Daphnia pulex: one gene and its partners. The protein of the gene in region 3 binds, or shares a complex with, the protein of the main gene of each other region. Links are inferred from orthologs where the notes say so. Each region holds a gene or a part of one and is shown on either strand. Other genes may lie near its edges.

Region 1 (2,711 bases), about 3.5 Mb from region 3:
AAAATCAGATGAAAGTAACAACAACAGAATTAAAGTCATTTGTTTGTTAATAAAGTTTTTAAATGATGGAATTACCAAAAACGGATATGGGTTCTTGAAGTCATATGTTTTTTTTACGCACTTAGTTTCGTCAGTTGGATTTTCCCAATAATAAACCTCGGGACGATGAATTTCTTCAATGTACAAGAGCCCACCGATAAGGGATTCCAGTTCGTCCGATTTATGTAGATTTAAATTAACAGCCTACAGACAACCGTATAACAAGATAAGAAAAAAGAAAAAGAAATCAAAGCTGCATAAAGTGTACAAACCCTTAAAAAGTCTTTTTCAAACTTGTATGCACCTCCACCTGTGGCACAAATGGTTGTGGACAGAGAGGCAAATCCTTTAGATTTTGCTAGCTGCAGAAATTGCTCCATTTCAGAGGTAGGAAATCTGATGAAATGTAATGTTCCTACTCTGTTTCCCATTGGAATTGAACTCATCTGAAATTTGAAAATTATACTGAAATCAATTTCTGATAAAATAGGAAAGATTAGAAGATGTAAACACCTGCAGATGAATGTCTCGGTGCCCTGTCTCTCCATAAGCATTGTTACTAGTGAGATACTTTTGAATGTTGTGTAAGGTTTCAATTTCTGACGAACTTACATTCTCTTCCTCAGGAGCAATGTCAGTTGGTTCAAAATACACTAATTTAACTAAAGTTCCACCTATATCCATTCCAAACCAGGGCATGCTAGCTGTAGAATAAAAATAATTGTTTATTATCACAACTAATTGATTAAAAATAACAATACTTACGAGAATGAACAACTGTGGAACTTGAATCATGGCCATTTGTTACCCTGTTTTCTACACTATCCATTGTGCGACCATATTGTGTTTCGTGATCAGAAGACATCTGTTAATGTGCAGAATTTCAATGTGCTTTCTTTAGTTATATCCCAGCAATTCTTTATTGTATGCACAGCACCGGATGAAGCTTAAAAATCCCTTTATTTAATTGATATCGGAAGTAGCGAATCAGTTCAGTTTACGCGACTCGAATAGTGGCCATCTGCATCATATCTTGATATTCGAACCAATAGAAAAAGGAATTCGGGTCGTACGATGTGGAAACTTTTCCCCTTTCCTTTTCTCTTATTTGAGTATGCTATTCCTCATTTGACACAAATTCGTCTGCTAAAACATCAGCATTGCCAAAATATTAAAATGTGAAGAGTAAATTGAGCTAGGAAAAGATTTTTATGAGATATATATACATTTTTTTAGTATTTAATTTGAATCAAATTTTCTAGTGCATAAAACCAATTAATTGAATTACACGAAAATAATGTTTTGTTTATTCTGTCAGCTCAGAATCGTCGTCTGCTATGCAGCCATTTTGAATACCAAGCGGCGTTCTTATTGTCAAGTTCACGAGCACAGTTTTGAATTGTATTGATCAGTGATTTCGTTGTTTTAACTGAATTTTACTCCTAACAATGGCGATGGCAATGCAGAAAAAGCTAAACGTATGCAATCATGTGTTAATTTTTTTTTATCATTAGTAGTTTATTATATTGAGTCAAGATTGTTGTGCATCAAGATTTCCATGTGAGCATTTCTTAAATATTTTTATTTTTCAGGTGAGGTTACCTCCTGAAGTAAACAGAATCCTATATGTCCGAAATCTTCCCTATAAAATTACATCAGAAGAAATGTATGATATCTTTGGAAAATACGGAGCTATTCGGCAAATCAGAGTGTAAGTAGAAATTGATAATATATGTTAGCATCAATTGTAACTCATTTGATTTGATAGAGGGAACACTCCAGAAACCAGAGGAACAGCTTTTGTGGTCTATGAAGACATTTTTGATGCAAAAAATGCTTGTGATCATCTTTCTGGTTTTAATGTCTGCAATCGTTACCTTGTAGTACTCTATTATCAACCTACAAAGGCCTTCAAAAAGGTTGACACAGACAAGAAGAAAGAAGAGATAGAAAGCATGAAGGCTAAATTTGGATTGAATGATGAATAACATGTAAATTGACCTCATTTCTCATTGTACAATTTGGTATAATAAAAAAACCATTTTCACTATGTGAATTGTAACCAGTATTGACCCTTTTCCAACCAGTGTAATTGTGAGGTATTCCATTGTAATGGAATATCAAATATGATTTGCACGAGTTATTACAACTCAAAAATGTTTTTTCTAAAAAGAATATTCACGAAATATCCGGCTTTCAAGAATAACAGATTTGTAGGCACAGTAAACAGACAAACAATTGCACTGCAGCTACTGAACACAAAATTATTTTCAAGCCAGTTTTACTGGGACTTCATGGAGACCAATTTTCGACTTCTGTGCTTTGATTCGCTCCGGTGAGATGTATATTCAAACCAGATAATGTTAGGGATTAATGTTTGATCTCTCACCAATAGCCATTCACACACTCTCCTAAGAAATAACAATGAATATTGCATGTTATCGGCATGGAAACACTTTTGAGGAAAACTAACCATGATGCAACAGTTGGGAACCACGGCGTTAGAGCGAATTGCGTAAATAAGAACCACGAAACTGCTAAAACAGATCCAAGTAATCCCCCTACTATTACTTGGGAAGCAGTGTGGTACTGAAGATAAATCCTAATAATGAAGCAAGAGAATTAAGTATTTTTTTTCACTTAAGTAAAATAAACAAAGAATTAGAATAAAA
Region 2 (4,101 bases), about 1.9 Mb from region 3:
TCTTAACTTGCATCACTTTAGGCAGAACAGTCTTATCGAAGTGATCTTCAAGAGTTGGCACAGCAAAATCGCGTTTGAAAACTTCCTTGTCTTCGTCCTGTTAGAGTAAGAGTTTAAATTATTTTTAAAATCCCAAATATCTTTAAAAGCTGAACTTACGAGGTAAAAGGCACCGCGATGATAGTATTTCTGTAGGAACTTATATTTGCCCTTTGGTGCCTTGTTTGTGACTTCCTTTGGATTGTTCTTGAATTCCAGTCGCCGTTCTTCTTCGGTCATATTACGGATACGTTCAATTTCTTGTCGTTCTCTTTCTTCTGCCTCTCTTTCATCTCGGTCACGCTTATTGCGTTTAAGTTCACGTAATTTCCAGGTCTCGTATTCGAGTTCTTCATCCTCGGCATCCGTCAACACCGACAAGATTCCTGATTCAAGGTCTTTTTCGTCTTTGGCTTGCATTTCTTTTCTGACTTCTTCTTCAACAACCTGTTTAATAGATTTTTAATGCTTTTTTAGTTCAAAAAGTGTATAAATTTAAAAATGGTTTACCTTTAAGGTATAGCGGCGACGTTCTTCGGCAAGCTTTTTAGCTTCAAGTTCCATAAGCTTTTGTTTTTGCAATTCCTTTTCCTTCTCAGCTATGGTTATACGTTCTTTCTTGCTAACGAAGATGGGCTTCAGTCTTGGACCCGTTTCTTCCTCAGAATCTAGGATAAAAAACACAACAGATTTAGAGTCTTGTTCACATCAAGGGACTTTTATTTCAAACCTGTATATTCTTCATATTCTGAAGCTTCGTCATCTTCATCTTCCTCACTTTCCTTCTCCTCCTCTCTTGCCAACAACTCCTACAACAAAATTTGCAATTGAATTGAATTGATCAATGATCATACTACAAAGTATATTAACTTACTTCTTCTTGCTGTTTAATAACAGCCTTCTGACGTGCAATCATTCTTCTGCGCTCAATGTCATCTTCATCAAGATCTTCTGCCTCATCCTCTTCTTCACTTGATTCCCATCTTCGGGCATTTTTGCTAAAACTTACTTCTTCACTTTCTAAATGAGGTGTTACTTCATCTTCTTCTGTTCCAATAATTTCAGGCTCATGGATATGACGATGCCTTTCAATTCTATGGTCGTCAACTTCACGATTTAAAAGACGTTTTAATCTTCTGTCACTGTGAGCAGTAAGTGGAAGATCTGGGGTTTCGTCCCATTCTTTTTCAGGACTACAATTTAATCAAATTTTTTAAATATACAAGCATATAAATACATATCTACAATCAATAATTTAATACCTTTCTTCTACTGGTCTTCCTCTTGCCTGCTTTCTTGGTCTGATAAACTCTTCTTCATCACTATCATCTGAAGATGAATGTGTAGTAGCGTAGTCTGGTCGTTTGCCTGATACGTAACGATTGACTTTAACTTTTTGCATAGATATCTCCCCTTTGTCATTTTTCACAGGGATAGCACCCGCGGTTGAAAGGATAGGGACCACTTTGGATGACGACATTTTCACAAAAAATTGTCTTAATCTTAATACGGAACGACCATATACACGCGTTTGTTGTCTGAATTTTCACTCAATGTTTTTTTCGTTGCCATTGCATACTCTATTCAGGGCCAGTGGGCCACTCATCGGATCACCAGAGTGCAGAGTCCTCTGTTGGCGAATGAAATTGAAGACGACTACTGCGCCATCTAAGAACTTAAATTGAAATAAAGAATGACGTGACTTTTGCCGTCTCCTATGGCACGTAATATTGTATGACATGTTATTGCAGACTGTGACCAGTACCCAGCAATTGATGTTGCTGTAATCCACTGAAAATCTGATTATGCTGCTTCTAGGCAACACAATGCAAACACGATAGTTTTATCTGAGTTTTATTAGCTGATAGCAGGATCAGGATAAAGAGGCCGTGACCAAAATCCATGGAGACCTTTCGCCAAGTTCTATCCAGGGATTGGCAACCGTGAGGAATCTCGTTTACCTTGAAGTGCCTAAGAATCACGAAATAAATCTGAGAAAATTAATGTCGGAATTTAGGAATTTGGACCTCATTATGACGTTACAATAAATCACTCATTTATTGTATATAGCAACTACCTACTTACTACTTACTTTGTAGGAAATTACTTATGTCGTAGCTAGATTTTACACATCGCACTATTTGATCGCAATGGCGGTGGTTTTACGAGTTTCAGCTTATTATCAACTGTTTCGAAACACCAAAGTATTCAAAGCTCCGCATGACTTCGTGCAGTTTTCACCGGATCGTCGAAGATATTGAACTCAAGGACATCGATTAGACACACACTTCAAAATTTACCTCACGCTATATTCCACTAAATATATCCGCTCGAAAGTTTAACCGAATATTTTTGGTGGTTCTACCGCTTTTTTTTTATCGTCATAGCATAATAATGTGCGGTTTCGAAATTCTACTTCGATGTCTCCATTTTATTTCTTAATAAATAACTGTTTTGTACTGTAATAAAAGAAAGGAGCTAAAATAAATCTTTCCAGGCAACAAGCACTAGTGTGCTTATTTATAGAAAAATACCTAACCAGTAATAAGTATTGTGGGAGAAAAGCAAATCTTTTGAGTAGTCAAGTACACATGTGTCCGAAAAGCAACAACAAGAAATAACAATCCATCAAAAAAACGTCATAACATGGTGGCGGTGACTGTATAGAAACACTATGTACAAACCATGAACATATTTATGGTGAATATGCTTCTTTTGGAAAAAAAACAAAAGACTACGGCTAGCGGCTTACATGGTGAAATGTTTCAGTTGTAAAATGAGTAATTCAGCTTCCTTAAATGCACTTTGATAGCCGAGACAACCTGTTAGCTGTTGCTGCGGGGGGTTAAGGGAGGAGATAGGGATCCGGCTTGAGGCATTTTGTCGACTTCCGGCAACCTAAAAAGAAAAATGTGTTCATGAATTTCAACTTTTCTTTCGTAATCTTGACGCCAGAGACCGCTACTTAAATTGAAATTATAGACGTCGCTACTAAACACTTGCCGTATTGCCGATCAAATTTTTAGAAATGTTAGAAACTGCTAAATAAATTTTCCCCTTTCGAACCAATGAATCCTGCATTAAAAATTATAATAAAATAATTTATCACTCGTTGTTTCAATAATACATTTTAAAGATGTGGGAGGGAACACGTTGACGGTTAGGGAATGGTTTTGAAATCGAATCAAATCGAAGCTTGGGTGGGCGGATCAGAAGGTGGGCAGAAAAGGGGACACTGGCTGTCAGTGTTGGAATTCCATCTGCTCAATTACACTGGTGTGTGTATGTCATTCCTCTCGTTATTCCACTTGAATAAGTGTAATAATAGAAATAATTGATTAGTTGAGTGGAATGTGTTAAAGTCTGAAATAGCTAGTTGTTTTCAGACGCCGCCGTCACCAAAATTGGAAGAAGGAAAAAAAAGCCATCTGGTGAGATGCAAGGAGTACTATTCTGTCTGTTCATTACATTGGAAGGCCCGAGTTTTTTGGATCTTCTGAAGACTTGCAAAGATATCGGGAAGACCGGGTCGGGTGTTTGGGCGGCTAACTGAAGTGACAGGTGCCTTTTTATCTGAAGAAGCAAAGAAACTATTTATTTTCGCCTGTTTCCAACGCCTTCCATCGATTTCTTAGTGCTCACATCAAAAACAAAATAGTGTTTGTGCAAATAACGACTCCGGTTCATAGGAATGCCTTCGAAAATACTTCCATATTACAGCTAAAATTCCAGTAAACGTCATTGTTGAGTCTACATTAAAGTAAGTGGAAAACCTGATCTGATAATAGTATGTTAGCTAGTATGCTGTAAATGACTGAGCAAAGTCTGTTTATTTTTTTCTGATAACAACTTTTGCCACAAATGTCACTGAAAAGTTACCAAACTAGTTTGACACTTCAGTTCTACAGATGTGGATAAACTATATGGCTGTGGCTGACAGGGTCATTTTGTTGCTTGAAATAAAGTTCTTTTCTTGTAAAACAGCTTGTTAGTGAGCTGATTAGGAGAATGGGGAAAATACTGTCCAAAATATTCGGAAACAAGGAAATGAGGATACTCATG
Region 3 (4,454 bases):
AAGACTGGCGTTTGAACTATGGTCCAACCACCAGTCGCTCACGTGCGCGCACAATGTGACACGCCCGCTGAGCACAACACAAATTAAAATTACCGTCGGCACGTTTTCTGACAGTCCACACTGCATTGGGGTTACCGGGAAGTTCAGAAACAGCCATCTCCGATACTTCCAATCCATGACGGAGAACACGAAGAGACGAACGAGAACTTCTACCACAAAGTGCATACAACTGGGGTGTATCCTCATTGGCTGTAAATTGAAAACAAATGTTAAAAACCTTTCAAAACAGGAGGAATTATCAAACCTACCGAGATCAGCAATATGGCAGGCCAGAACTGGAGATAAAGACTCCATCTCGTCCACGAGAACAAGATTCTTCAAAGGTCTCGGAGCAAAGAAGAAAGTATCTCCTTCCTCCAATGGTATAGTAGAGCTGAATTCGGGTTCATCGTCATCATCCCCCAAATGAGCAATCTGGTAAAGATAACTAATAACACAAGGAAAATTAATACACTTGAAAACCCATAAAACTACTTCAAATTTTGTAACCGAAATCAGAGTCAAAAATTATAATCAAAGTGTTATCTCAGGTGAAACACGGATGACAATACACATCATTTCAGCAAATAGAAAAAAAAATTTAAGAAAACTAACTGATTTCCAAATTCCGATGCGACGAATAGAAAGCCTGTCTTCAACACACACATGCTGGACGAAACTGGAACGGTATCAAAGTACTTGATTTTCAATTCTCTCACCACCTCTTCATCCATATCCATGGTGATCTTGAAAATATCGCCCTGCTCCGTTTGGACAAGGAAGAAAAACATGGCCTTGGTGCGATGGGAAGCCGAGCAGACGAAAATCATGCCCCTTTCCGGATCATCCAAGTCATTCTACAGAGAAAAAACTTATTACTACCGTCCTCAATACATGGAATAAATAACTTATCGGAGGTTCGTTCCAGGACAGCATGCAATATGCGCATTACAATCCAACGATGCAAACATCTCCAAGTATAGTTTAGGCACTAGTCGACCAGCACGTGTATAGAACACGGCTGGAGATACCGCGCGCCAAATAACATAATGAAATGATCAAACGTACCCTTCTTCTGGGGATTGGGCAACGAATGTCATGCTGTTCACCCAAATTCTTATATGTGATGTAGTTCTCGGAGCAAACCAGAACTCCGGAAGGTCCGTCGTTTCCTCCAGGAACAGTGATGAGGAAATTGGCGTGCTCATCCAACGGCTCACTATTAAAGTAAAGATATGTTCATCAAAATATTTCTTACATTGTCACACATAAGTCAACAATGTTACACACTATGATAGATAATGTCCCCCTTATGTATAGCTGCAATCTTTAAGTGACAAGAGAGCAGTAAAGTTAAGGGGTTTTGAAACCCAACCAGGCAAAACCAAAATCACCAAGATTTGTTACGCACCTATATTTCCTAACGACGTGGTTTAAACCCAGATCGAGTTCGTAGAATGTAAGCGTTTGTTGCGTCTTCTGTGCCGCCTCGCCTGTTGGATCACCATCGGCCTCTTCATAATCCATCTCCAAACAAGCAAATACAGGGTTTTCAAATCCCACGTCAACACCCACTATGTTGTAAACTAGAGTGTTTGACTTGTGAGCCTCCAGCGGAGAAGAAATGGTTAAATGGGCTTGGGCATCCCTGTTCAGAATGTAGACCAGTTTTTGCTTCTCAATAGCACCTGCAATGCAAAAAAAAAACATAAATGTTAAAGCAATGCGCACTCTCAAGCCACAAGATTTCGATTTTAAAAAATTCTCAGTAAAAACGTTAGATATCAGCATTATCTTTCTCAGATGGGGAAAGAAGACATAAAAACGTAACTCATCACTTGCAAGAATTTAAATTAAAAACGGATCAAAACTTACTGATCATAACAGCTCTGCCTTTGGGATCAATTGCCATGTACTGTCCAGGAACAATCCGACGACAACCGCTTTTGCCGTACGTTTCTTGGTGCACCTTATCAAACACATTTTTGGCAGCATTGTATTCAAGAATGACAATTCGCCCAGAGTCTGATCCGACCACAAGGTAATCTAAATACAGAATTAATGAAAGTTAGCAGGATGTATGTTTTAAAAATTATATTTGCACAACTCACCCTTATTTCCTCCAGTAAGCCTGAAACTAATGATTGACCTGATGATTCCAAAAACCTCTTGACTGAGAAGTGTGTGTACTTTGCCAGTGTTGGGATCCGGCTTCACAATTTCGAGTACCTTTCCACGAGCAATGACAATCTCCTGTTGCTTGGTGCCACTGAAGTTGCCCTGGACTGCCTGAATGATGCCAGTGGCACGCTGCAGAGTCAGATTGTAAAGATACATTTTCTTTCAAGTTGACGTGTCCAATGTGTAACTTGAACTGCCTAGATGAGCATCACCTGCGAAAATGTTATCAGATATAATTCTTACATTTGTCCAACATGTTTAATGACAATGTTACACACCATTTGAAAATTAATGTCCCCCTCATGTATAGCCACCAAACTTAATTCACAGAAAGGCGGTAAAGTTGTAAGGGGTTTTCTTTTCTTTAATAGCTAGACGAGTACGCGAAAGAAACTACAGCCCCGGCATCTCACCCGGCAAGGTTTTCAAATTGACATGCTTCAATATTTTAAACATCGCCAAAAACACACATTTAACCATCAAAATAACTGCTTTTCAACTATCTGGAACTAAAATGTGTAGTCAAACTTGAATTTACCTGTGGATGTTACAGATTTTCCATGATGGAAAATTCAGCAAAGGTTGAGTGAAATCTCTCTTGGCTCCGGCGTCGCGCTCGAGTTTAGGGTTCGACTTCTCGTGCATTGTGTGATAGGCAATATTTTTGAACATCTGACATCGACTCTCTACTTGGTCTATCCCTAAACACAGCATTTTCAATGCATTTGCGCTTTCTTTATCACAAGATTTTTTAAATTATTATTATTATTTATAGAACGATTTCATAATGCATTATACAATAAAATTGTGAAATTAATAAAAAATTTCAGTGGTGATAATCAAGAATGATTTATTCACAGCTGTTTTTATTACTCATAAAGTAATTCAAAAGACGTGTTCATATTCCGATCCCTTGCTATGCGCGCGAGTTTCTCTCTAGAACCACCATGCAGCCACGCTTTGAATAGACAAGTTCGGGATGCTGAGTTGCACAACCGCAAAATTAGGATCGTGCGCCAACGAGTTTTTGTAACGTTGTGGGGATAGTAGAAAGCGGGTTTTTTATTATTTAAGCATAGAATTACTTATCTAATCTTAGAAATGTTCAGGATTATCGTTGTTTAGAACATTCTGCTTTTTATAGAGTAATTTTAAATGTATAATTCAGCTTAGTTTACCCATTCAAATTAAAGAAAGTCCAAGCCTGGGATGCTGTTTAGTCTTTTCTTGTGTGTTTGAGCTTGTCACTTGTCAGCAGATCTGTCAAAAAACACAAGAAAAGACTAAACAGCATCCCAGGCTTGGACTTTCTTTAATTTTAATGGGTAAACTAAGCTGAATTATACATTTAAAATTACTCTATAAAAAGCAGAATGTTCTAAACAACGATAATCCTGAACATTTCTAAGATTAGATAAGTAATTCTATGCTTAAATAATAAAAAACCCGCTTTCTACTATCCCCACAACGTTACAAAAACTCGTTGGCGCACGATCCTAATTTTGCGGTTGTGCAACTCAGCATCCCGAACTTGTCTATCTTTTAAAATTTCTTATTCAAAAATTTTTATTTGCGGTGCGGTAAGGAATAACGAATAAGGGTGTTGAAGCACTTATCTTTTTTTTTCAATTCATAATGTACCGTTGAATTCATTTCGAGTCATTCAATTCATATTGACTGAAACAATCGAGTTCCCGAACTTTACCGATTAACTCGTCCTCTGTCGCCAGTGATGGAATGTGGAACGGCTTGCAGTCGGAAATCAACTCTTGACTTTTGATGTTTCCTATTAAGAACAAGTTTAGAGGTTTGAAAAAAAACGAAACTAGAAAAAACGAAGAATTTGATGTTGTCCTTGCATTCTTTGGAACAGCCTTTATTGCAGCATCTTCCAAAAGATAGCCGCAGCGAAATTCTTCGACGTTTGGAATTTAACATCGTCGACTTGTTGTTGTTGTATACGCGATATCAGCAGTCGGTAGTTTTGGGCCAACTTTCGTCGTCGTCGGGAACAGCATGAGATTATAGTTTTCTACACTGTCATAAATGCGTTGAGATAAGGCGCTGCTGGGCGCGGTATGAAATCCCCTTGTTCCGTAATATAACATGCTGCAACCGCTATAAGCCATGTACGCGCATTCGTGGTTTTTATCTGATGTACAGTAGAACAAGTTCTAACTTTCCATATGCCATCTTATTAAGGTTATCCTCTCTGACTATACAGAAACAAATCA

What was found.
Region 1: splicing factor 3B subunit 3-like (region 3) and splicing factor 3B subunit 6-like share a complex: the UniProt entries of both Drosophila melanogaster proteins name them as parts of the splicing factor SF3B complex. The link is inferred for Daphnia pulex from reciprocal best matches to the Drosophila melanogaster genes Sf3b3 and Sf3b6.
Region 2: splicing factor 3B subunit 3-like (region 3) and microfibrillar-associated protein 1-like share a complex: the UniProt entries of both Drosophila melanogaster proteins name them as parts of the spliceosome B complex. The link is inferred for Daphnia pulex from reciprocal best matches to the Drosophila melanogaster genes Sf3b3 and Mfap1.

The regions. Positions count from the first base shown.
Region 1 is NC_060019.1:12,853,404-12,856,114, reverse strand, and holds splicing factor 3B subunit 6-like, read left to right. Parts: upstream 1-1,357; 5' UTR 1,358-1,487; coding exon 1,488-1,517; intron 1,518-1,631; coding exon 1,632-1,750; intron 1,751-1,807; coding exon 1,808-2,027; 3' UTR 2,028-2,089; downstream 2,090-2,711. Other genes in the region: pantothenate kinase 3-like, read right to left, coding at 76-243, 312-485, 553-743, 805-904; dolichyldiphosphatase 1-like, read right to left, coding at 2,321-2,450, 2,513-2,641. UniProt on the Drosophila melanogaster protein: Involved in pre-mRNA splicing as a component of the splicing factor SF3B complex. SF3B complex is required for 'A' complex assembly formed by the stable binding of U2 snRNP to the branchpoint sequence (BPS) in pre-mRNA.
Region 2 is NC_060019.1:11,265,309-11,269,409, forward strand, and holds the start of microfibrillar-associated protein 1-like, read right to left. Parts: upstream 2,935-4,101; 5' UTR 2,792-2,934; exon of another isoform or gene 2,724-2,791; intron 2,011-2,723; 5' UTR 1,520-2,010; coding exon 1,302-1,519; intron 1,233-1,301; coding exon 914-1,232; intron 849-913; coding exon 770-848; intron 708-769; coding exon 550-707; intron 487-549; coding exon 160-486; intron 98-159; coding exon 1-97. Other genes in the region: ADP-ribosylation factor 6, read left to right, coding at 4,048-4,101. UniProt on the Drosophila melanogaster protein: Required for pre-mRNA splicing.
Region 3 is NC_060019.1:9,348,348-9,352,801, reverse strand, and holds the start of splicing factor 3B subunit 3-like, read right to left. Parts: upstream 2,914-4,454; 5' UTR 2,759-2,913; intron 2,433-2,758; 5' UTR 2,377-2,432; coding exon 2,151-2,376; intron 2,086-2,150; coding exon 1,915-2,085; intron 1,728-1,914; coding exon 1,451-1,727; intron 1,259-1,450; coding exon 1,108-1,258; intron 897-1,107; coding exon 655-896; intron 488-654; coding exon 309-487; intron 250-308; coding exon 94-249; intron 1-93. UniProt on the Drosophila melanogaster protein: Involved in pre-mRNA splicing as a component of the splicing factor SF3B complex, a constituent of the spliceosome. SF3B complex is required for 'A' complex assembly formed by the stable binding of U2 snRNP to the branchpoint sequence (BPS) in pre-mRNA.